2 linked regions of the Callithrix jacchus genome follow. The protein of the gene in region 1 purifies or fractionates together with the protein of each later gene. This does not show direct contact. Links are inferred from orthologs where the notes say so. Each region holds a gene or a part of one and is shown in the gene's direction. Other genes may lie near its edges.

Evidence for each region.
Region 2: the proteins of SYTL4 (region 1) and RAB3A purify together in Homo sapiens (affinity purification with mass spectrometry; 3 studies listed by BioGRID and IntAct, counting the BioPlex papers as one, with this or other methods). This does not show direct contact. The link is inferred for Callithrix jacchus from reciprocal best matches to the Homo sapiens genes SYTL4 and RAB3A.

The regions. Positions count from the first base shown.
Region 1 is NC_133524.1:96,990,663-97,002,112, reverse strand, and holds part of SYTL4 (synaptotagmin-like protein 4), read left to right. Parts: intron 1-2,994; coding exon 2,995-3,096; intron 3,097-3,565; coding exon 3,566-3,641; intron 3,642-4,034; coding exon 4,035-4,125; intron 4,126-4,240; coding exon 4,241-4,329; intron 4,330-5,182; coding exon 5,183-5,287; intron 5,288-6,388; coding exon 6,389-6,567; intron 6,568-6,853; coding exon 6,854-6,956; intron 6,957-7,487; coding exon 7,488-7,649; intron 7,650-8,636; coding exon of another isoform or gene 8,637-8,867; exon of another isoform or gene 8,868-8,996; intron 8,997-11,450. UniProt on the Homo sapiens protein: Modulates exocytosis of dense-core granules and secretion of hormones in the pancreas and the pituitary. Interacts with vesicles containing negatively charged phospholipids in a Ca(2+)-independent manner.
Region 2 is NC_133523.1:16,908,533-16,920,489, reverse strand, and holds the start of RAB3A (ras-related protein Rab-3A), read left to right. Parts: upstream 1-5,586; 5' UTR 5,587-5,805; intron 5,806-6,871; coding exon 6,872-7,099; intron 7,100-9,084; coding exon 9,085-9,203; intron 9,204-10,537; coding exon 10,538-10,662; intron 10,663-11,688; coding exon 11,689-11,879; 3' UTR 11,880-11,957. UniProt on the Homo sapiens protein: The small GTPases Rab are key regulators of intracellular membrane trafficking, from the formation of transport vesicles to their fusion with membranes.

The DNA.
Region 1 (11,450 bases):
TATATTGTCTTCTTATGAAAAATGGAGGTAAAATTTATATAACGTAAAATCATCATCTTAACCATTTAAAAATATAAAATTCTGTGGTTGTTAGTACTTTGAGAACATTGTGCAATCATCACCACGATCTAATTTTAGAACATTTTCACCACCCCAAATAGAAACCCCATAGCCATTAAGTAATCACCTCTATTTACCCCAACCCCTAATCTGCTTTCTGTCTTGATGGATTTGCCTAATCTAGACATTGCCTATAAATTCAGTCATGCAGTATGTGGCCTTTTGTGGCTGGCTTCTTTCAAGTAGCATAATGATTTCAAAGTTCATCCATGTTGTAGCATGTATCTAGATTTCATTTTCTTATATTGATGAATAATTGGTTATATGAATATGCCACATTTTGTTTGTCTAGTCATGCATTGATGGACATTTAGGATGTTTCCACCTTTTGGCTATTATGAATAATGCTGCTATGAACATTCACGTAACGTTTTTGTGTGGACATTTATTGTTCAGTTCTGTTGTGTAGGTACCAAGGAGTGGAATTGCTGGGTCATATAATAGTTCTATGTCTGATTTATATTTTAAAAGCTCATTCTGGCTGTTGTGTTCTGGATAGATTGTATAGGGACAAGGGAAGAAGCAGGATTAGTTAGGAGGCTACTACAACCATCCAGGAGCTTGATGATGGTGGTTTGGACCAGAGTAATGGCAATGGAGGCAGGGAGACTGGATCAGAGTCTAGGTATACATTGAAGGTGATTTGCCAACAGATTTTATTTGTAATGTGAGAAAAAGAGTAACAGATGATTCTTAACGTTTTTGACTTGAGAAATGAAAGGAGAAATTTGCCATTTGATGAGACAGAGCAAAGAGCAGCTTTGGAGGAGGGTTAGGGCTCTGGTTTTGGGTTTGCTGTGTTTGAGACATCCAAGTGGAGACATTGAGTAGGCCATTGGAAAAACAAGTCTGGAGTTTGAGTACGAGAAAATTTGAGGCTGGGCACGGTGGCCCACGCCTATAATTCCAGCACTTTGGGAGGCTGAGGCGGGTGGATCACCTAAGGTCAGGAGTTCAAGACCAGCCTGGCCAACATGGTGAAACCCTGTCTCTACTAAAAATTCAAAAATTGGCTAGGTGTGGTGGCACAAGCCTGTAATCCCAGCTACTCAAAAGGCTGAGGCAGGAGAATCACTTGAATTCAGGAGATGGAGGCTGCAGTGAGCCGAGACTGTACCACTGCACTCCAGCCTGGGTGACAGAGACTCCATCTTAAAAAATATAAAAAATAAGTAAAAATAAATAAAATTGAGTTTTTAACTTATTGAGGATATTTAAAGCCATGAGAATAGATGAGATCATTTAGGGATAATTCTAAATAGAGAGGAGGAACAGCCCGAGGAAGAAGTTTGGACACCATTAAAATATTAGAGGTCTACAGGAGGAGTAGGGACGAGCAAAGGAGACTGAGAAGCAGCAGCCAGGGAGGTTGGAAGAGGAAACCAGGAGAGTGTGGTGTCCTGGGAGCCAGGGGAAGTTATTTGAGATATTCAAGGAAGAATGGATTTTTTCCCCCCTTTTCCTACTTCTCTCACTAATTCTTTGAGGTAAGGGGCCCCAGGAATGGTGTCCTTTCCTTGAAAGATGAGAACTGCTGTTTTGAATTCCCAGAGTCATCCTTCATGAAGGCAATTAAGCTAAAAAAGATTTCTGGTCACTTGAATACTGTCTTCTAGACATACTGCTTATTTATGGTTGTATCTCAGCCCCACTGAGGGCATTTATTCAAGAATTCAGTCAATAAAAATACTTGGGTACACACTCTATGCTAGTCTCTCTTCAAGGCATTGGGAACACATTGGTAAATAAGATATGTGGTCACTGGTCTTATGGAACTTTGCCGAATGGAGGAGAAAGACATTAATTTGTTTAAATTATTGAACAAAATAAATAATTTGTTTAAAAGACATAAACAAATAGTTACATATGTGGTGACTGTTGGTAAGAAATCAGGATGCTATGGGAGCACAGAGGAAGCTTACTAATCCAGATTTAGGGTAGGGGCGTGGCCTGAGAGACATGGAGGAATTGACATATAAGGAGAGATCTGAAGAAGGAGTAGATTTAGCCAGGTGAAGAAAAGTGGCCATTGTGAAAAGAACATCCTAGGCAGATAAAAGAGGGAAGATGGAGAGCTTCAGGATATTCAGAGAACCAAAATAGCTTCATCTTTCTGAAATATAAAGTTTGAGGAGGAGTGGGGGTGAAAGATGAGAGTGGAGAAGGGTGGCAGGGGCCAAATCATGTGGATATTCTTGCCATGCTAAGGAGTTTCAGCTAAATCCCAAAAGCAATGGAAAACTGCTCAAGAGTTTTAAAAGTATACTGAGGCTGGGTACAGTGGCTCACGCCTGTAATCCCAGTACTTTGGGAGGCCAGGGCAAGTGGATCACCTGAGGTCAGGAGTTCAAGACCAGCCTGGAACATGGTGAAACTCCATCTCTACTAAAAATACAAAAAATTAGCAGGGTGTGGTGGTGCATGCCTGTAATCTCAGCTACTTGGGAGGCTGAGGCAGGACAATTGCTTAAACCTGGGAGGCAGAGGTTGCAGTGAGCTGAGATGGCGCCACTGCACTCCAGCCTGGGCAATAAGAGTGAAACTTCATCTCAAAAAAAAGAAGTATTCTCAGCTGGGCACCATGGTGCATGCCTGTACTCCCAGCTACTCAGAAGGCTGAGGCAGGAGGATCACTTGAGCCTAGGAATTAGAGACTATAGTGCACTATGATGGCACCTGTGAATAGCCACAGCACTCCAGCCTGGGCAACATTGCGAGACCCTATTTCTTAATTAAAATTATTATATGTTTAAAGTACACCCATGTTTATTTTAGAAAAATCGCTCAGGCTACAATTGTGAACGGATTGGAAAGAGGCCTGACTAGAGGTAGAACCTGCTTCCTTTCAATATTGGCTCTTGGTTTTTATTGTAGTGTGCTATTTGAAGTGCCAAAGCTGAAAAGTGGAAAGAGTGCATTGGAAACTGAGAGTGAGAGTCTGGATAGCTTCACAGCTGACTCAGATAGCACCTCCAGGTGAGGTTTCCTCATTTCTCTCATCTCCACACTACCCAAGTTGCGATTTTGTTCTGCAGCATCAGTGTTCCTGACTTCTGTCCTCAGGAAGTTGAATGGAGTATTTCCTCTGACCTCACCAGAAGTCTTTTCCGTAGCACGTGTACTGATTTGGCTCTGAGCACAGCTTCCTGGATCATATTGGCTTCCCCAGTCAATTCCCCCAGTACCTTGGAGTATTCTTCTTAGCCCTGTAGCAACTGATGCTGCTGTCCTTTAAGAATGAGGGATCTGAGTGTTTGTGTTTGTGCAAAGTTGCTTATCTGATCTTCTGCATTCCTTCCAGGTAAATCAGATGTGAAGTATACCTTCTGAATTTGGTTATTACCATGACCCAAGGCACTGGCTTTCCTTCCATAGAGCTTTGATCTCTGGGTGCAAGGGGAAGGGGAGGAGGTGACTTAGTTATAACTTGTGAATCTATCTCCAGGAGAGACTCTCTGGAAAAATCTGGCCTCTTTCCAGAATGGAAGAAGATGTCTGTTCCCAAATCTCAAGTAGAAAAGGTAAGCTGCAGGTTACTGAGCCACCTTCCTTCCCTCCCTTCCTTCCCTTCCTCCTTTACCTCCCTGTCTCCCTCCATCTTTCCCTTCCTCCCTCCCCTTCATTCTTCTCTTCCTCTTTCTTCCCTCCCTCCCTCCATTCTCTTAGGCAGAATTTGAATCAGGAATTTAACTAAACAAATTTCAGTTCAGAGTCACTTGGGAGCATTTTCTAAGGTTTTGGTTGAAATGTGTGAGAAAATAGGTTTTGTACTATTCCTAGGCACATAATCTTTCCTTTAAGTTTGTCATAGTTTCGGGAAAATCTGAGCCTCATTCTTCTTAAGGCTATCCTTCCTTACTCCTTCTACCTGTCCATCTGTCCTTTTCCATTTTCGTGCCCTTGTTCCTTTCTAGGAAACTCAGCCTGGATGTCAAAATGTGGTATTTGTGGATGAGGGTGAGATGATATTTAAGAAGAATACCAGGAAAATCCTCAGGCCGTCAGGTAACTGGTTTCCCTTACTGGTCTTTTGGGACTAAAGTTCTGAGTACCCTTGATGGGCTCTTGGTAAGGAGAAGAATAGGTTTCTTCTGATTTGGCTTTTTGGTTTTCTCCTCAGAGTACACCAAGTCTGTGATAGATCTTCGCCCAGAAAGTGGCCCCTTGGGAGACAGAAGCAAATCTGTCCCAGGCCTCAATGTAGATATGGTAAGTGCCCTTGTATTTTACTGTCACTATATGAAATTTTATTTATCTAGATTTGGCTTTAGTACCTGAGATTCTCAATCAACCTATTTAATTCTTTAGGAAAAGGCAACATGAAACTTGATACCCCAAATTTCTGAAGTAAATCTGGTTCCTGATTTGCTTAAAGGAAAGGACTGTCTTTGCTATCTCTTTTCTTTCTTTCTCTTTCACAGTGTCTCACTCTGTTGCCCAGGCTGGAGTGTAATGGCACAATTATAGCTCAGTGCCACCTTGAACTCCTGGGCTCGAGCTGTCCTCTCACCTCAGCCTCCTGAGTAGCTGGGACTTTAGGCATGAATCATCATACCTGGCTAATTTCTTTCATTCATTTTTTTTTTTTTTGGGAGAGATGGGTGTCTCACTATATTGCCCAGCCTAGTCTGGAATTCCTGAGCTCAAGTAATCTACACTCTTCTGCCTCCCAAAGTGTTGGAATTACAGGCATGAGCCACCATGCCTGGCCATCTCTTTTATTTTCTAATAAATTGCTGGATATATGACTGGGGATCAAATAAATACTTCTCTTGGTTAAAATATAAAGAGATAGCTGGGTTGGGGAAAGTCTAATGGAAAAGAGTTATAGCTTTTATGAAAAACATTAAATATTCTTATCTTATTCTTTGAGATATGAGAAGGATGGTTGGAATAGAGCTGGGAAGCCTGAAATGGGAAGACATATAAAAAGAAGAATATGTGCATATACATACAACTCGGAGCTTTATGACAATTATGGCTCCCACTAAAGGAAAGGTGTTAGTCTTTGAAGCTAAAGAAAGGTATTTCTTTTATTAATTCTGAATCTATATTGTTCTAGGAAGAGGAAGAAGAAGAAGAAGAAGAAGAAGAAGACATTGACTACTTAGTGAAGTTACATCGCCAGAAGTTAGCCAGAAGCAGCATGCAAAGTGGCTCCTCCATGGTAAGTTCTATTAGATCTGTGGGTATAGGCATATTGGGGTGCTAGGAAGAAAAGAAGCACCTCCCTAGAGCAGACTCGGGACCTGGGGAAACCATCCTAGTCACTCTTTTCAGGTAAGTAAGATGCGTTTGTTTGTTCCTATCCTCAATTTAGACTATAGATGCTTAGTGTACATCTAGGTGACTTCCTGAGTCCCCATCCTGGAGATTATTACATATAGATAATTAAGGCTGGGGACATTCTTCATCACAGCTTTGTGAGCAATAACCTCAACTTATCCTTTAAAGAGGTACCCAGGCTGTGAAGTGAGCAAGATCAGATTTCTTCATCATAGCGCACTCTAAATTCCCAACATTAAAGGAAAGTGAGTGTCATGAGAGGGGCCCTGGCAGGGTTAGTCAACATCAGGGTATGGCTAACAATCAACAACACCAGTAAGGATAATGAAGTTAAGGGAACATTTATGAATCAGGGCCTGGTTCTGTTATAAGCATGGAGATTGATATTTAGGGAAAGAGTCAAGAACAAGAGTAAACAGAGTTTGTTCACATTCACAGGAAGAGAAGGTCAGCTCACAAGACCAATTACTACCAGAAAGGAAGGTGCCTTTTCACTTCTGGTCGGGTTTCCTCCTTCCCACTCACTCCCAATTCTGGCTGAATCTCTTTTCTCTATAGGTCCTGATAGACATAAGGTGGATAAGAGAAACCCACCTTGTTTTAGTTAGTGACTAACACCATTCTAGCCGATGTTTTAGTGTATATAACACAGTTCCCAAATGGACTTACGTGCACCTTGCCTCTGCTCCCTGCCCGCCTCCTGGGGCAGATGAAAATGAACACTAAAATTTGTACAACCAGGAGAAGAAGAGAAGCTAAGAGGCTAGGTGAGCCATGAACTGATTTATTCACCTGAACAGTTATGAGTCCTGGTAGTTCTCTTTTACCCTCTGGGTCAAGGAGTGTGGGCAGCACTGGATCATTGCAGGGGCTTCTGAATCTTCTGTTCAGTGACTGTGGCTTTATCATGAGGGAAGATATGAACAATGTGGCGGGGGTGGAGTGTGCCTTCCCCAGATGTTCGTGAGTGCTTTTTCTTCAGAGTACAATCGGCAGCATGATGAGCATCTACAGTGAAGCTGGTGACTTCGGGAACGTCTCTGTGACTGGCAGGATTGCCTTTTCCCTGAAGTATGAACAGCAAACACAGAGTCTCGTCGTCCATGTGAAGGAGTGCCACCAGCTGGCCTATGCTGATGAAGCCAAGAAGCGCTCTAACCCGTGAGTGCTTCTGGAACCTGACTGATGCTCTGAGACTGGAGAACAGACCCCAGCATCTGTCTGGGCACTCTTGAACAGAGCTTATCCCTTTCCTTGGGAGCAGGGAGGTGTGATGTAGGAAAGGAACCAGGATTGGGGAAAAAGCAAGAATGGCATGTCTAAGAGGGCTTGAGGTGACATTTTTGACATCACATATCACCATGCCATATTCATATGGAGAGCAGGAAAGTGAAGAGCAGGCTTGAGAAAGGCCAGCAAATTACTCAGTATACTCTTTGGTTTCTAGGTATGTGAAGACTTACCTTCTGCCTGACAAATCCCGCCAAGGAAAAAGAAAAACTAGTATCAAGCGGGATACCATTAATCCACTATATGATGAGACCCTCAGGGTAAGTATCTAGACCCCAAGGGTAGAAGAACCTGTTTTGTCTTGTGCCCGAGGCTGTAACTATTCCTCTGCAACATGGCCAGGTGACATGAGTTTCAGTGGGCCATGTCTGTGTGTGAGGATACATTGGGTACCTGTTCACATCCTGATTTCCCAGTGAAGAGAACAAAGGTGCTCCGCCTTTCCTGGATTGTTGTGAAGTTGGAGATTCACATGGCCACAAATCTCATTTTAAAAAGACATTTGAGATAAGGAATCTCCTTGTCAGTTGTTTTTGGACGACTCAGTATTCTCTCACCTACTCAAGGAAAATCTAATTTTCCAGATCTTCCTATGGAATATGGTAGGTTTTTTATAAAATGAGGTAAGTTGAGGCTTTGAGTGAGGAAACTCAAAGTGCTTAGGGAATATAAAGGAATTTGGTATTCAGGACTAGTGACTTCAGGAATGGTTGCTCAGGTTTTGGAATATTCTTGTCTGAGGAATTATCCTAAACTAATAATCATCTTGGGCTTCTACTTTCCCTTCCCAGTATGAGATCCCAGAATCTCTCCTGGCCCGGAGGACCCTGCAGTTCTCAGTTTGGCATCACGGCCGTTTTGGCAGAAACACTTTCCTTGGAGAGGCAGAGATCCAGATGGATTCCTGGAAGCTTGATAAGAAACTGGATCATTGCCTCCCTTTACATGGAAAGGTAGTCTGCTTTAATAACTCATGCAGTTTGGATTTGAGGTAGAATTGTCTGCAGTAGCCTCTGCTGGTCTATGTTGGTAGTGTCTTTGAATGTAGTCTTCTCTGGAGTTCTAGTGTCCCCTGCTGGTGTTTCTGAGTTTGACAGCAATTTCAGAGGCATTTGTACATCCAGCGTGCTGTGTAAATCAGGCAAAGTATGAAGCCATGGTTTTGCTTTGAAATAATGTTCATATGTGTCCTAAGCTTTGCCTCCTAACCTTCCAGAATCTGGGTGTATCCTAACATCCTAACTCACACCTCTTCTCCAAGCTAACCTTCTGTGTATATCCTAATCTGCACCCTTTTGCCAAGCTACCGCTTTACTTCCAAGGGGGAAGTAAAGCAGTTCATGGAGCTCCAATTGCTATACTCTTGGTCACAGAGGCCAGGGAAAATATAACTTTGGAGATGGCAATTCGGGCCAGAGTGTAGCAATATGGCATAATCACGCCTGGGATCTGAGTGCAGACCTGTATTGGAATCCTGGTTCTGTCACTTGCCAACTATAGATGAGTCACTTACCTTATAAAATAGGGTAGAGAAATCATCTGGTTAAGATGAAATTGCTAAAACAGGGGACTTATTTAGCAACTTCTCGATTATCAGAACTATACAATGATATGACAAAGTTCATCTTTAGTTTTTTTTACACTAGCATTTTAAATGTTTAAAACAATACATGGTCCATAAACTATCTTTGGGAAGTTAGATGAGAAACTAGTCATGGTGGCTGCCTCTAGGAATGGAGACTGAGGTAGAAGGAATATTTAGTTGTCTCTATATCCCCCTTTTAAGCATTTGAACTTTTAACCATGTTAAGAAAATTAAGCCAAAATGGACTTATATACACAAGGTTCAAAATTAAAATAATGTAAAGTATATTAAATGGAAAGTAGGTTCCATTCCCTAGAAATAATCACTGTTAACAGCTACTTGTGTATCTTTCTAGAAATTTTGTATGGCCGGGTGCAGTGGCTCATGCCTGAAATCCCAGCACTTTGGGAGGCGGAGGCAGGTGGATCACCTGAGGTCGGGAGTTCGAGACCAGCCTGACCAACATGGTGAAACCCCATCTGTACTAAATACACACACAAAAAATAGCTGGGCGTGGTGGCACATGCCTGTAATCCCTGCTACTTGGGAGGCTGAGGCAGGAGAATCGCTTGAACCGGGAGGTTGAGGTTGCACTGAGCCAAGATTGCGCCATTGCACTCCAGCTTGGGCAACAGAGCAAAACTCTGTCTCAAAAAAAAAAAGAAAAAGAAAAAGAAAAAAAGAAAGACATTTTGTATTAAGCAGCCCAGATATGCATCCGTGTATTTATATATATATATATATATATATATATATATTTTTTACACAAACGGTCTCACATGAACCTCATTGTACACATCTCTTTTTTTTTCGTTTAACAATATATCATGGACATCCTTTTGTGCCATCACTTAGAGATCTATCTCATTTTAATTGTCGCTGCATGGTATTTTTTCATGTGCCTGTATTACAATTTGTTTACCATTCCCCCACTAATAGACATTTAAATTGTGTGAATTCCTTTTTGCTCTTAAAACTATTCTATAATATATTTTGGTCTTCTTTTGTGAATGTAACTGTCAGAGAAATTCCTGTTGGTGGAATTGCTGAGTGAAGGGAAATATACATCTAATATTTTGATATCTGTTGCCCTTGCAAAAAAAATAGTGACAACATTAAATTTTCCCTTTAAATACTAATAAAAACAGGAATGCATTCAATAGCACAGTAAGATGATGATAGTCAACAAAAATATGTGTATTTCAAAATAGCTAGAAGATTTGAAATGTTTCCAATGCAAAGAATTGATAAATGTTCAAAGTGATGGCTATAACAAAATATCACGTGTACCCCATAAATACATGCTAGTATTATATATCAATAAAAAGACAGGAAAGAAATTATTACCAAACTATAACATATTATTACAAATTTAGAATTTCTTAACCATTTGGCACCCAAGTCATTCTCTACAGTCAATATAATTACATTGGAAATGTTGCTGTAAACCATCATGAACTACTGCGAATAAAACTGCTTTATATAAAGAGAAGAAACCACATTAACATGGTGATATTTGCTCTTTGCAAATATTTGGAGCCAGAATAAAAATGTGCTACTGAAACAAATATACCAGTTTTTAGCTAATGCTAAACTCCAATGAGAGTCCACTGAAACTCACAGAAATTTTCTAAAACATTTTCTAGAAATGAATAAATTGTGTAGACATTTTATAAACAACCAAAAAAGCCATCCCCATATTATGTATTGATTTTAATTTCTACATTTGTCATTTATGGTTTTCTTTTCATTTTTCCCCTAGCGATCCATTTGCTCCCATGCAGTTTTCCCTTGCCTGGATCAATCTCCTGATTCTTTTGTGTCTCTCACATATATTAAACTATATCTTCTGAGTATGGTACATTGATCCAGACCTATGGATTATTGGCTTCCCAGCATTGGTGAGGACCTAGGTTAGCCAATTAACACAGGCAAGGCCAGGCGTGGTGGCTCATGCCTGTAATCCCAGCACTTTAGGAGGCTGAGGTGGGTGGATTGCTTGAGCTCAGGAGTTCAGGACCAGCCTGGGCAACGTGGTGAAACCCCATCTCTACAAAAATTAGCTGGGTGCGGTGGTGTGTGCCTATAGTCCCAGCTGCTCGGAAGGCTGACACTGGAGAATCACTTGAGTTTGGACTCAGGTTACAGTGAGCTGAGATCGCGCCATTGCATTCCAGCCTGCCTGGGCTGTGGGAGTAAAACACTGTCTCAAAAAAATATATATATATACAAGCAGGTAAAAGGGCATCTCTAGTCTGCACCAGCTCATGCTCTAGATATTGAAGCATAAGGAACAAAGTCATTCAGAGAGAGCCAATTAGAGTGAAGCAGCTCTGCCAACCAAAGCCAAAGACAATAGGCCACCTGCTACTCATCCCATTCATTCATTCATTCATTCAGTAAATATTTATGGAGCACCTGTGCCAGGTACTTTGCTAAGTGTTGGACATACTTGGATGAACAAAAATAGGCTTCATTCCTGTCTCCTGGCCCTTCGACTTGAATGGTAGAGACAGACGTTGATCAAAGATAACTTAAATAAATGTAAAATTTATAATTGTGGCATATTCAAATTCGTGTAACAGAGTTTCACCTGGCCTTCAAATCTTTGCAAGCCCTCTTTTTTTCTTTTTGATGGGGAGGGACAGGTTCTGGCTCTGTTGCTCGGGCTGGAGTGCAGTGGTGTGACCTTGGCTCACTGCAACCTCCGCCTCCTGGGTTCAAGTGATTCTCATGACTTAGCCTCCCAAGTAGCTGGGATTACAGGCCCACACCACCACATTAGCTAATTTTTGTACTTTCTGTAGAGATGGGATTTTGTCATGTTGCCTGGGCTGGTCTTGAACTCCTGGACTCAAGCATTTGCCCACCTCAGCCAACTGCTGGGATTACAAATGTGAGCCACTGCACCTGGATGAACGTCCTCCTTTTTTTTTTTTTTTGCAAGCCCTCTTTTTAAAAATACGTTGTGTTTTTAAAAATCATACAAATGATATAAACTATTCTCATTAAAAAGACACTAAATGTGAATATAGAGTGAAAAAGTAAAAGCATTCTTTCCTTTCCCTATTCTGTTCCCCTCCCTAGAGGAAGTGAGGATAAATTTGTCCGAATCTTGGGTTTTTCTATGCAGTGTAGTATAGTCTTCAAAAGCATGGACTCTGGAACC
Region 2 (11,957 bases), on another chromosome or scaffold:
TTGCACAAACTCTGATTGGAGGTTGGGGGTTGTTGTCTGTGACCTCCCTGAAATATCCTAGACATTTGGGGTACTGAGCACTTCTTTGGGATTAAATAAAATCTTTACATCTTAAACATTTGATTGACCAAATTGAGTATCCTAGCCGTTTCACGGATGGGGAAACTAAGGTGTAGAGCGGTCCTATTGCCAGCTCAGTCACCATCTGGGTACCCAATGTTAGCCAGCGGCGCCCCCTGGTGGCAGGCTTGGGACAGGCGGGACGCGCTTGTCGGGAGTTGGAGGGTGGGTCGGTGGGCGGCATCTTCCCGCCCTGATGCTTTCACCTATCGCACCTCGCCGGGAACAGCTCGTCCTGCTGGCCGGGCCTCCGAGCGGACTGGGCGGCACCGTGCTCAAGCCTCGGGTTTGATCCTCGCCTCCCGAAGCCTCAGTATCCGCCCCTCCCCTCTGCCTCCCTCCTCGAGTGCCTGAGAATTTATACAAGATACAGGCGTCATCACAGCCGCCGTGGGCTTCCAGCGCAGCTGGCTTCGTTCGTAAATATTATAACCACTCCGAATTCATCATAATCGCAGTTAATGATAAAATTCCACAGTGCCAGAGCTAAAAGTCATCCGGGATCACGAACTTGGTGTGTTTCCTTCCAGCCTTTTATTTTTATTTTATTTTATTTTTTGAGACGGAGTTTGGCTCTTGTTACCCAGGCTGGAGTGCAATGGCGCGATCTCGGCTCACCGCAACCTCCACCTCCTGGGTTCAGGCAATTCTCCTGCCTCAGCCTCCTGAGTAGCTGGGATTACAGGCACGCGCCACCATTCCCAGCTAATTTTTGTATTTTTAGTACAGACGGGGTTTCACCTCGTTGACCAGGATGGTCTCGATCTCTTGACCTCGTGATCCACCTGCCTCGGCCTCCCAAAGTGCTGGGATTACAGGCGTGAGCCACCGCGCCCAGCCCCCCTTCCAGACTTTTAAACGGCAGAGATTTCGGTTTTTTTTTTGTTGTTGTTATTGTTTCAAGATCCCCGCCTCCAGTCCTCTCACAAAGTAATACATGTTAGCTGTAGAAAATTTGGAAAAAACCGAAAATGTATAAAGAAGGAAATAAAATTCTGTTATAACCACCCATAGATTATCCACCTGCAGTATTTTGACTTATTTTCCTTTGGTTTTTTTTTTCTCCATCCATTATAAGATATTCGTATTCTTTTCTTTTCTCTCTTCTTCTTTTTCTTTTTATTTATTTATTTTTTTTTTGAGACGGAGTTTTCCCTCTTGTTACCCAGGCTGGAGTGCAATGGCGGGATCTTGGCTCACTGCAACCTCCGCCTCCTGGGTTCAGGCAATTCTCCCGCCTCAGCCTCCTGAATAGCTGGGATTACAGGCACGCACCACCATGCCTAGCTAATTTTTTGTATTTTTAGTAGAGACGGGGTTTCACCATGTTGACCAGGATGGTCTCGATCTCTTGACCTCGTGATCCACCCGCCTCGGCCTCCCAAAGTGCTGGGATTACAGGCTTGAGCCCCGCGCCCGGCCTCTTCTTTTCTTTTTTTTTTTGAGACGGAGTCTTGCTTTGTTGCCCAGGCTGGAGTGCAATGGTGCAATCTTGGCTCACTGTAACCTCCACCTCCCGGGTTAAAGAGATTCTCCTGCCTCAGCCTCCCGAGTAGCTGTGATTACAGGTGCCTGCCACCATGCCCGGCTAATTTTTGTGTTTTTAGGAGAGTTGGGGTTTTGCCGTGTTGGTAATGCCAGTCTCGAAATCCTGACCTTGTGATCCATCCACCTCGGCCTCCCAAAGTGCTGGGATTACAGGTGTGAGCCTCCACACCTGGTCTCTTTTCTTTCCTTTTCTTTTTTCTTTCTTTTTTTGTCAGAGTCTCACTCTGTTGCCGAGGCTGGAGTGCAGTGGTGTGATCTCAGCTCACTGCAACCTCCTCCTCCCTGGTTCAAGTGATTCTTCTGCCTCAGCCTCCCGAGTAGCTGGGACTTCAGGTGTGTACCACCACATACCGCTAGGATTTCACCATGTTGCCTAGGCTGGTCACGAATTCCTGGCCTCAAGTGATCCACCCGCCTCGGCCTCCCAAAGTGCTGGGATTACAGGCATGAGCCACTGCACCCAGCCCTAGAATATTCATATTTTTTATAAATGAATATTCGTATGTTCCCCTTCAATTTCAGCCACAGGCTTTTGCCCCTCTCCCCTCACTGACTGCACCTGCTCTGGCCACACTGCAAGCCTGGTCCTACCACAGGCCTTCAGACAAGCCGTGCCCCCTACCTGGAATGCTTCTCTCTCAGCCCCCAGCCTCGCTCGTGGGGTTTTAAGTTAGTGTCTTCTTCCCTGAGAAGTCATCCCTGGGCCCCTATCTGGGATACTTTTTTTTTTTTTTTTGAGATGGAGTTTCCCTCTTGTTGCCCAGGCTGGAGTGCAATGGTACAATCTCTGCTCACCACAACCTCCGCCTCCCAGGTTCAAGCGATTCTCCTGCCTCAGCCTTCCGAGTAGCTGGGATTACAGGCATAAACCACCACGCCCAGCTAATTTTATATTTTTAGTAGACACACGATTTCTTCATGTTGGTCAGGCTGGTCTCGAACTCCCGACCTCAGGTGGTCTGCCTGCCTCAGCCTCCCAAAGTGTTGGGATTACAGGCGTGAGCCACCACCCATGCCTGACCTTTGTGTGTGTGTGTGTGCATGTGTGTGACAGTGTTTCCCTCTGTCACCCAGGCTGGAGATCAGTGGAGGCACAATCTCATCACACTGCAGCCTCCGCCTCTCTGGTTCTTTTGATTCTTATGCCTGAGCCTCCCCAGCAGCCTCCCTGGGCAGGCACCACCACACCTGGCTAATTTTTGTATTTTTAGTAGAGATGGGGTTTCGCCATGTTGGCCAGGCTGGTCTTGAACTCCTGACCTGAAGATCAAGGAGTGATCCTCCTGCCTCAGCCTCCCAAAGTGCTGGGATTACAGGTGTGAGCCCCTGCACCTGGCCAAATTTTTACTTTTATTTGTGTGGTGCAGAAGATCGGGTGTGGCCTCAGGGAGGGCTCTGGACTTTCCTGTGGGTGGGGCCAGCAAGGAAGCACAGCCCCTTCTTCTCCCACGGCTCTGTCTCCCGGCCACACAGAAAATGCCCCAAGCCCACAGCCCCTCCCCTAGCTCATCCATTTCTAATTCCAGAGCCCAATGCTGCTCTGGACAATCAAGGGCTTGCATTCTTCTTTAATTTAAATTAAGTATTTTTTTCTGTTATTTTTTTTTTTTTTGAGACGTAGTCTTGCTCTGGTGACATGGCGCGATCTTGGCTCACTGCAACCTCCACCTCCTGGGTTCAAGCGATTCTCCTTAGCCTCCCGCGTAGCTGGCATTACAGGCGACTGCCACCATGTCCGGCTAATTTTTGTATTTTTAGTAGAAACGGGGTTTCACCATGTTGGCCAGGCTGGTCTCGAACTCCTAACCTCAGGTGATCCAACCGCCTTGGCCTCCCAAAGTGCTGGAATTACAGGCGTGAGCCACGGCGCCCGGCCAAGTAATTAGTTTTGAGACAGGGTCTCACTCTGATGTCCAGGCTGGAGTGCAGTGGCGCCATACGGTTTCCTACAGCCTCGACCTCCTGGGCTCAAGTGATCCTCCTGCCTCAGGCTGGGGAGTCGCTGGAACCACAGGCACGCACCACCACACCCAGCTTTTAAATTTTTTTGTAGAGATGGGGCCTCCCTATGTTACCCAGGCTGGTCTCCAATTCCTGGGCTCAGGCGATCCTCCCGCTTTGGTCCCCCAAAATGGTGGGAGTACAGGCGTTAGCCGCCGTACGCGGCTATTTTTACTTTAAAATACTAAGTCAGTGACAGAAGCTTCTGCACGTTCTCGTGGCTGACTTTTCCCTTCCTGGGGAAAAAAAAGGCAGGAGGTATTTCTGAGAGCGCCACCCATGTAGGAAGCGTGCCTTTGGGCGATCAGGGAGCTGAGCAGCCTAAAACCTCCTCCCCTCCAAGGGGGCCGCAAGCCGGGCCTGGACCCTCTCCCCTGAAGCCCCCCACAGAGAGCGAACTGGACTGCCGGTGTCCGCGTGGGCGCGAGGGCGGGGAGAATGGGAGGTGGATTTCTTTTTGTTTTATTTTTTGTTTTTCGGAACGTTCCCAATTTCTCCGCAGTGGATTCGTGATACTTTTATAGTCCTAGTGGTGGAGGTGGGGGGTGGGGAAGGGAGCAAATATGTTACCCTAAAAAGAAAACAAAAATTTCCCAAATGCAAATGGAGAGGGGACGGGGCGGGCGGGGGGGGCGTCCCAGTACTTCCAGGGTGCTGGGGGCGGGCTGGGGACAGGGTTGGCGGCGGCTGGGCCTCGAGGCGCTAAGTTATTCTGGTCTCTCGGCGCCTCCGCAGCTGGCGAGCTTTTTATAAACAGGAACGAGTTTCCCCCCCCACCCCAACTCCAGCCCCGCCTACTGTGCGGGGGGAGGGGGAGGATCTAGGGGATCAGGACTCTTCTGGCGACCACACACGCCTGGAGGGTTTGAAAACTGGAGTAGGGGGCGCAGGAGCCCCGGAACGGGGGCTGGGTTTGGGGCTCCTCTCCCCTCCCCACATTCTGAGTTTTTTCCCTGAAGATTTGGAGGAATACACGGTGGAGCATCTTAGCTCCCCAAAGGCCCCATTCTCTCAGGTTTCCTTTCCCAGAATGGAGGGCGGGGCTCTTTCAGCCCCCGGGTCTTTGGACCTGAGCATTGAAGGGCTGGAGGGTTCCCGGAGCATTTACCGCAGGCTTCAAGGGGTTTTCTGCACAGGTCGCTGCTCCTTCCCTACTAAACCTTTTCTTTGAATTTTCCTCTTGATGACGGGGCGCAAGGAGGGGAGGGGGTTCCCAGAGAGTCCACCCGCTCCTTCCTCCTTTTCTGGGAATGGTGGAGAGGAGTGGCTCTCTCGACCTCTATTTCTTCTTTCTATTTTTTAAACCTCAGAAAAGGGGGAGGGGTGGAGTCTTCACTAGCCCCGCCCTCTTTGGGGGTCTCACGCCTCGGGAATGGGACAGGGGCCCCTCTTGATCCCTGGTTATTCTTGTGTATTTATTTTGAACCCCATATATGTGAGGGCGTAAAACATCTCTTGGGCCTCGGTTGTTCTTTTCTGCAATTGGGAGTCGGGGGCATTTAACAGAGGTCACAGCACCTTGGACTAGACTATGGCCTCGAGTCCCCTACCTGGGGTGGGCGCGGGCAGGGAAGGGAACCGCCCCTCGAAGACCCGGGCTCAGCCAAGGCCTCAGCCTCTCGGCCCTTCAATCGCCCAGAAGCCACCATTGGACAGGAGGGGGGAGTATGTAATCGCTGATTGGCTAGTCGGCCCGTCGCTCGAGGGCTTAAGCCTCCCCGAGGCGGAGTCGGCCCCCGCCCCGCTCCCACCCCTAGTGAATACACACGCTAGGCCCGCCCCACTTGCGCGTCAATCTTCGCAGGAGCCCCGCCCCATCTGGCTCTGCGTGCGTCAATGGGCCACATCTCAGCGCGCGGCTCCGCCTCCGGATAGCGTCACGAATTTAACTGCATGTGAGGCCCCGCCCCTCCCTTTGCAGGACGTCACTGAGGACTGCAGGGGCCTGAGCCGCTGCCGCCGCCGCGCAGCCCCACATCAACGCACAGGGGGCCCCGTCACTGCCACCGTCAGAAAAGTCTCCGCCGCTAGGGTCGCCGTTGCATCGGTGCAGTGCAAGGTGAGCTCCTGGGCGGCCGAGTGTGCTTCGGCTCTGAGCACCTGCATAACCTTCATTTGACTGACGGGCTGGTGGAGGTGCGGGACGAGGTTGGCCGGGGTTGAATGGGGGGAAGGATGCCGCGGTCGCGAGGCTGAGAGTGGGTAGGGCCCCGGCGCCCCGCTCCTGCCTGATCCTCACCACTACCCCCCAACCCCCCGCTCTGCGGCGGAGGGGGAGGGGAGGCAAGCGCCTTGCGAGAAGCTGTGCGCGCGGGAGGCTCTTGCGTGCGCGTGCGCGTGGTGTGCACACGCGTGTGCGCGCCCGCCTGTGTCAGCGGGTTTGTGTGTACCCTTGCGTGTGCACCTGGATATGCTCGTATGCCCCCACGGGCCTAAGTGTGTGCATGTTGCACGCGTGTGGAGAAAGATGTGTGAACCGCCTGTGCATGAGTGTCTCTGCTTACAAGCACGGGGATCCGTGTCCCTGTGGGTGATGTGCACACGCCTGCATGTGTGGAGGGGCCTGTGCGCACGGGTGGTTTGCACATTTCTATAGGCGAATCGGTGTGCAAGCAGGTGACTGTGTCTTTGTCCTGTGCACCCCAGTGCGTTTACACACTCCTGTATGTACGGATGAGCGTGTTTGAGGCTGCGTGCACGTGAGCGTGTGCATGCCTCGCCTGTATCATATAATGCAGCAGCCTTGGCCGGAGCTCTCTGGCCTGGAGGTTTGGGAGAGAGGTGGCTGCCGATGCGCGTCCTCCAGGGTCCATGCGCGCGTGTGCACGTGCGGCTGCGAGGCCGCGTTCTGAGACCATGAAAGATTGATAGGGGGCGGGGCCAGCCGCAGTCACCCCTTCTGGGCTCAGCCCTGGGTTTAGGGTTACAGCCCCACCTGGAGCACAGGACTCTTGGAAGGCTGGGGTGTTCCCAGTGGGTTCCGCGACCCTCTGAGCCCCTCTTCTGAAACGTTCAGGATTTCAAGGTCACAGGCTGCCCTCTGCTGGGGGCACCACCAATGAATACTGGGGCTCCTGATGGGATAAGTGTGGTCTCCATACACTGGCCCCTTTCTGGAGCTCTCCCCATCCTCTGCCTGGGCTTGGACACATGAGGATGGAGGGTGCCCCCCTCACGGCTCCGCTATACCTGGTATCCCCAGATGGCATCCGCCACAGACTCGCGCTATGGGCAGAAGGAGTCCTCGGATCAGAACTTCGACTACATGTTCAAGATTCTCATCATAGGCAACAGCAGCGTGGGCAAGACATCCTTCCTCTTCCGCTACGCCGACGACTCGTTCACCCCTGCCTTCGTCAGCACCGTGGGCATCGACTTCAAGGTCAAAACCATCTATCGAAATGACAAGAGGATCAAGCTGCAGATCTGGGTGGGTCCCAGCTGGAGGGCTCTCTCGGGCTCCCGTCTTTGGAAAAGCAGCCCCAACCTCATGTGTCTCTTTCCTGGCTGCACTCACTCACTTACACACTGGGCATTTAGCAAGTCCGTGCTGTGTACCAGGGGCAGAAACAGATGGCACCTGTGTTCTCCCATAAGTGCCTAATCCTGGGGCCTCAGTTTCCCTGTCTTCAAGTACTTCCATGTGTGCGGTTTCAGCTGGATCTTGGTCCCCATTCTCTTTTTTTATTCATTTGAGATGGAGTCTCACTCTGCCTCACGAGCTGGGGTGCAGTGGCGTGATCTCGGCTCACTGCAACCTCTGCCGCCCGGGTTCAAGGGTTCTCCTGCCTCAGCCTCCCAAGTAGCTGGGATTACAGGTGCCTGCCACTGTGCCCGGCTAATTTTTGTAGTTTTTAATAGAGATGGGATTTCACCATCTTGGCCAGGCTGGTCTTGAACTCCTGACCTCATGATCCACCTGCCTGGGCCTCCCAAAGTGCTGGGATTACAGGCGTGAGCCACCGAGCCCAGGCAACTTCATCACCATTCTGTTTGTTTTTTGAGACAGGGTGATCTTGCTCTGTCATCCAGGCTGGATTGCTGTCGCATGATCATGGCTCTCCGCAGCCTCTACTTTCTGGGCTCAAGCCATTCTTCCACCTAAGCCTCCCAAGTAGCTGGAATTCCAGGCGTGCACCACCACGCCTGCGAAGTTTTTTCCTTTTATAAGAGACAGGGTATGGCTATGTCTGCCCAGGCTGGTCTTGAACTCCTGGGCTCAAGTGATCCTCCCATCTCAGCTTCTCAGAGTGCTGGGGTTACAGGCATGAGCCATCCCACTTGGCCTTCTTAGTTTTAAGAGACAGAGCCTCACTCTGTTGCCCAGGCTGGATTTGAACTGGGCTCAAGTGATCCTCCTGCCTCAGCTTCCCAAGTAGCTGGGAGAACAGGCGCGTGCCACTGAGTCCGGCTTCCTTTAGTTTTTAAACCTACAGTTCTATTCTCTCCATCTTTGGAAAAGATGGCTTGATTTTTCTTCTTGGTCCTTGTCACCCTCCAATATAGGATACATTTACCTGTTATTTTCTGTTTCTCACACTGGGGTGTCACTTAGCAAGGCAGGGAGTTCTGCCCATTTGTTAACAACTGTGTCCCCAGTGTCTAGTTCAGGGTGTGGCAAAGATCAGCGTCCAGTCCATGTTTGTTTATTATTTTTCGAGACAAGAGTCTCACTCTGTCACCCAGGCTGGAGTGTAATGGTGTGCTCCTGACTCACCGCAACCTCCGCCTCCCGGGTTCAAGTGATTCTCCTGCCTCAGCCTCCTGAGTAGCTGGGATTACAGATGTGCACCACCACGCCCGGCAGGGTTTCACCATGTTGGTCAGACTGGTCTCAAACCCGTGACTTCATGATCCGCCCATCTCAGCCTCCCAAAGTGCTGGGATTACATGCATGAGCCACCACACCTGGCCCCATTTGTTTTTTGAGGCAGGGTTTCACTCTGTTGCCCAGGCTGAACTGCAATGGTGCGATCTCACCTCACTGCAACCTCTGCCTCCCGGGCTCAAGCGACCCTCTTACCTGAGCGTCCTGAGTATTGGGACTACAGCTGTGAGCCACCATGCCGCATTCATTTTTATATTTTTTTGTAGAGAAGGGGTCTCGCTATGTTGCCCAGGCTGATCTGGAACTCCTGGGTTCAAGCCATCTGCCCATCTCAGCTTCCCATAGTACTGGGATTACAGGTGTGAGCCACAGCACCCTGCACAGGACATGTTTGTTGAATGACTCTGTGGGATGATGGAGCACTCATACACTCTGAGCACTATGACCGAGCCTGCTCTTCCTGACACTGTGCTCCTGAGCAAGCTCCTACTTCTCCCAGGGGGCTGAACTGGGTGATATCAGAGCTCATTTCCTCTCTGAGGGCCTGATGTGTGGGTCCTCTCTGATCTCTATCTCTTCCTCTCTAGGACACAGCAGGGCAAGAGCGATACCGGACCATTACCACTGCCTACTACCGGGGCGCGATGGGCTTCATCCTCATGTATGACATCACCAACGAAGAGTCCTTCAATGCTGTGCAGGACTGGTGAGTACACCCCACTCACTGTTTTTTTTTTTTTTGAGAGAGGGTCTTACTCTGTCGCCCAGACTGCAGTCCAGGCTCACTGCAGCCTCGACCTCCTGGGCTCAAGTAATCCTCCTGCCACAGCCTTCCAAGTAGCTGGGACTACAGGCGCACACCACCACACCTGGCTAAGTTTTTCTATATTTAGTTGAGATGGGGTTTTGTTATTTTGCCGAGGCTGGTCTTGAACTCCTTGGCTCAAGTGATCTGCCCGCCTCAGCCTCCCAAAGTGCTGGGATTACAGGCGTGAGCCACTGCTCCTGGCCTTCCACACTCATTCTGGGACCATTGTCTCTGAGACAAAGTTGCTCCCAAAAAAGAAATAGGCCAGGTGTGGTGGCTCATGCTTGTAATCCCAGCGCTTTGGGAGGCTGAGGGGGGCGGATCACAAAGTCACGGGTTCGAGAGCAGCCTGGTCAACATAGTGAAATCCTGTCTCTCCTAAAAGTACAAACAAATAGCTGGGCGTGGTGGTGGGTACCTGCCATTCCCAGCTACTTGGGAGGCTGAGGCAGGAGAAGTGCTTAAAGCCTGGGAGGCAGAGGTTACAGTGAGCAGAGATTGCGCCACTGCACTGCAGCCTAGGCCACAGTGCGAGACTCCGTCTCTAAAAAATAATTAATAAATAAATAAAAGGTAGGGATCAGGGAAGGATTTCAGCTAGAAAAGTAAAACTGTAAACATATAGAAAAAAATAGCTGCAAGTGTAGGGTGGAGACAGAGACTTTAAGGAGAGCTGGTTAGAGGTGGCAAACATTGCAATTTTCTGCTCAGAAGTAAAAACTCTTTGAAAAGAGTTCTGGGCCAGGCACAGCGGCTCACGCCTGTAATCCTAGCACTTTGGGAAGCAAAGATGGACAGATCTTGAGCTCAGGAGTTTGAGACCATCCTGGCCAACATGCTGAAACCCGCCCCTACTAAAAACACAAAAGATTACCCAGGCGTAGTGGCTCATACCTGTAGTCCCAGCTACTTGGGAAGCTGAGGCAGGAGAATCACTTGAACCTGGGAGGCAGAGGTTGCAGTGAGTGGAGATCGTGCCACTGCACTCCAGCCTGGGCAACAAGAGTGAGACTCCATCTCAAAAAACCCCAAACACACAAACAGTAACGGGTCAACTGGGGGCTGGAGTGGGGGGAACGAGGAGCACACAGGGGAAAGGATGGTGGGGAGGATGGAGGGCCGAGCTTCAGGGTCTTCCTCCCTGGGACAAGGACGCAGGCTCCACAGCAGCCCGTCAGGGTGGAGCTGGGATCCTCGACGCTCTAAGCTGTCCCCATTGCTGCCTCCTGCAGGTCCACGCAGATCAAGACCTACTCGTGGGACAATGCCCAGGTGCTGCTGGTAGGAAACAAGTGTGACATGGAGGATGAGCGGGTGGTGTCGTCAGAACGTGGCCGGCAGCTAGCTGACCACCTTGGTGAGTGCCCAGCCGGGCCAGAGACCTGCAAGGCTAGAAAAAGGATACTGAGGTCCAGAGAGGGGAGGGCATGAACCCAAGGTCTTACAGCTAAGTCAGGTAATTCATTCACATGTTCTGCAAACTTGCCTTCATCCAGGAGCCATTTGAGTTGGACCCTGAGGGCTATGTAGGAGTTCGCTGCGCAGAAAGTTAAAGGTTTATTCTGATTCTCACCGTCCAACACTTTGTTGGGTGGTGCTGGGCTTGAGAGGCAGGTAGGGGTACCTCGAGGGACCTCTGGGGTGGAGGGAGGGACCTAGGCAGGAGGAGCCCATGGTGGGAGCCAGGCTTCCTGGAGAGGCGGGCAGTGGGCTCTAGTGCTTGGAAGAAGGGTGTTTTAGGCAGAAGAAACAACTTGGGTAAACGCTTGCGGTGAGAAAGCTCCTGTGTGTTTTGGTAATAGTTTCACATGACTGGAACAGGAGGATCAGCTGGAGGAAGTGTGGCTAATTAGAGAGGGCCTCAACCATGTGCTGAGAGGCCGGGACTCTTTGGAGGGCAATAAGGAGCCACAGAGGGTGTGTGAGCAGGGGGAGGTCACGGCTGGATCTGAGAGTCAGAGGCTTCCAGGCCCAGTGCATGGGGCTGGGCATGTCTTGCCAGGTCCCTAAGGACAGTGAGACACACTTTTAGGAAGGAAGGGCAGGAAGCCAGACGCAGTAGCTCATGCCTGTAATCCCAGTACTTCAGGAGGCTGAGGTGGAGGATCACTTGAGCCCAGGAGGTCAAGACCGCAGCAAGCTATGATCACGCCACCATACTCCATCCTCAGCAACAGAGCAAGGCCCTGTCTCAAAAACAAAGAAACAAAAAAGGAAATGCAGTCGACCCAGTTCAATGTGGCTTCCCTGCAGGACTTGTCAGTACCTTCAATAAGTTGCTTGGCACAAGACTCTCCAGGTGTTCCCTTTGCTGAGAGAGGCATCTCTAGGAGTTGGCGTGGGGCATGGCCAGGGTCCTCATCCTTGCCTTCTCTGACCACAGGGTTCGAGTTCTTCGAGGCAAGCGCCAAGGACAACATTAACGTCAAGCAAACCTTTGAGCGCCTGGTGGACGTCATCTGTGAGAAGATGTCGGAGTCTTTGGACACGGCGGACCCTGCGGTCACAGGCGCCAAGCAGGGCCCGCAGCTCAGTGACCAGCAGGTGCCGCCACACCAGGACTGCGCCTGCTGAGAGCCACCCGGCCCCCTTGCCCCTCTTCCCCACCTCCCCCCACCTCCCCAGGCCTGACCCGGCCCCCACCAGCCATGG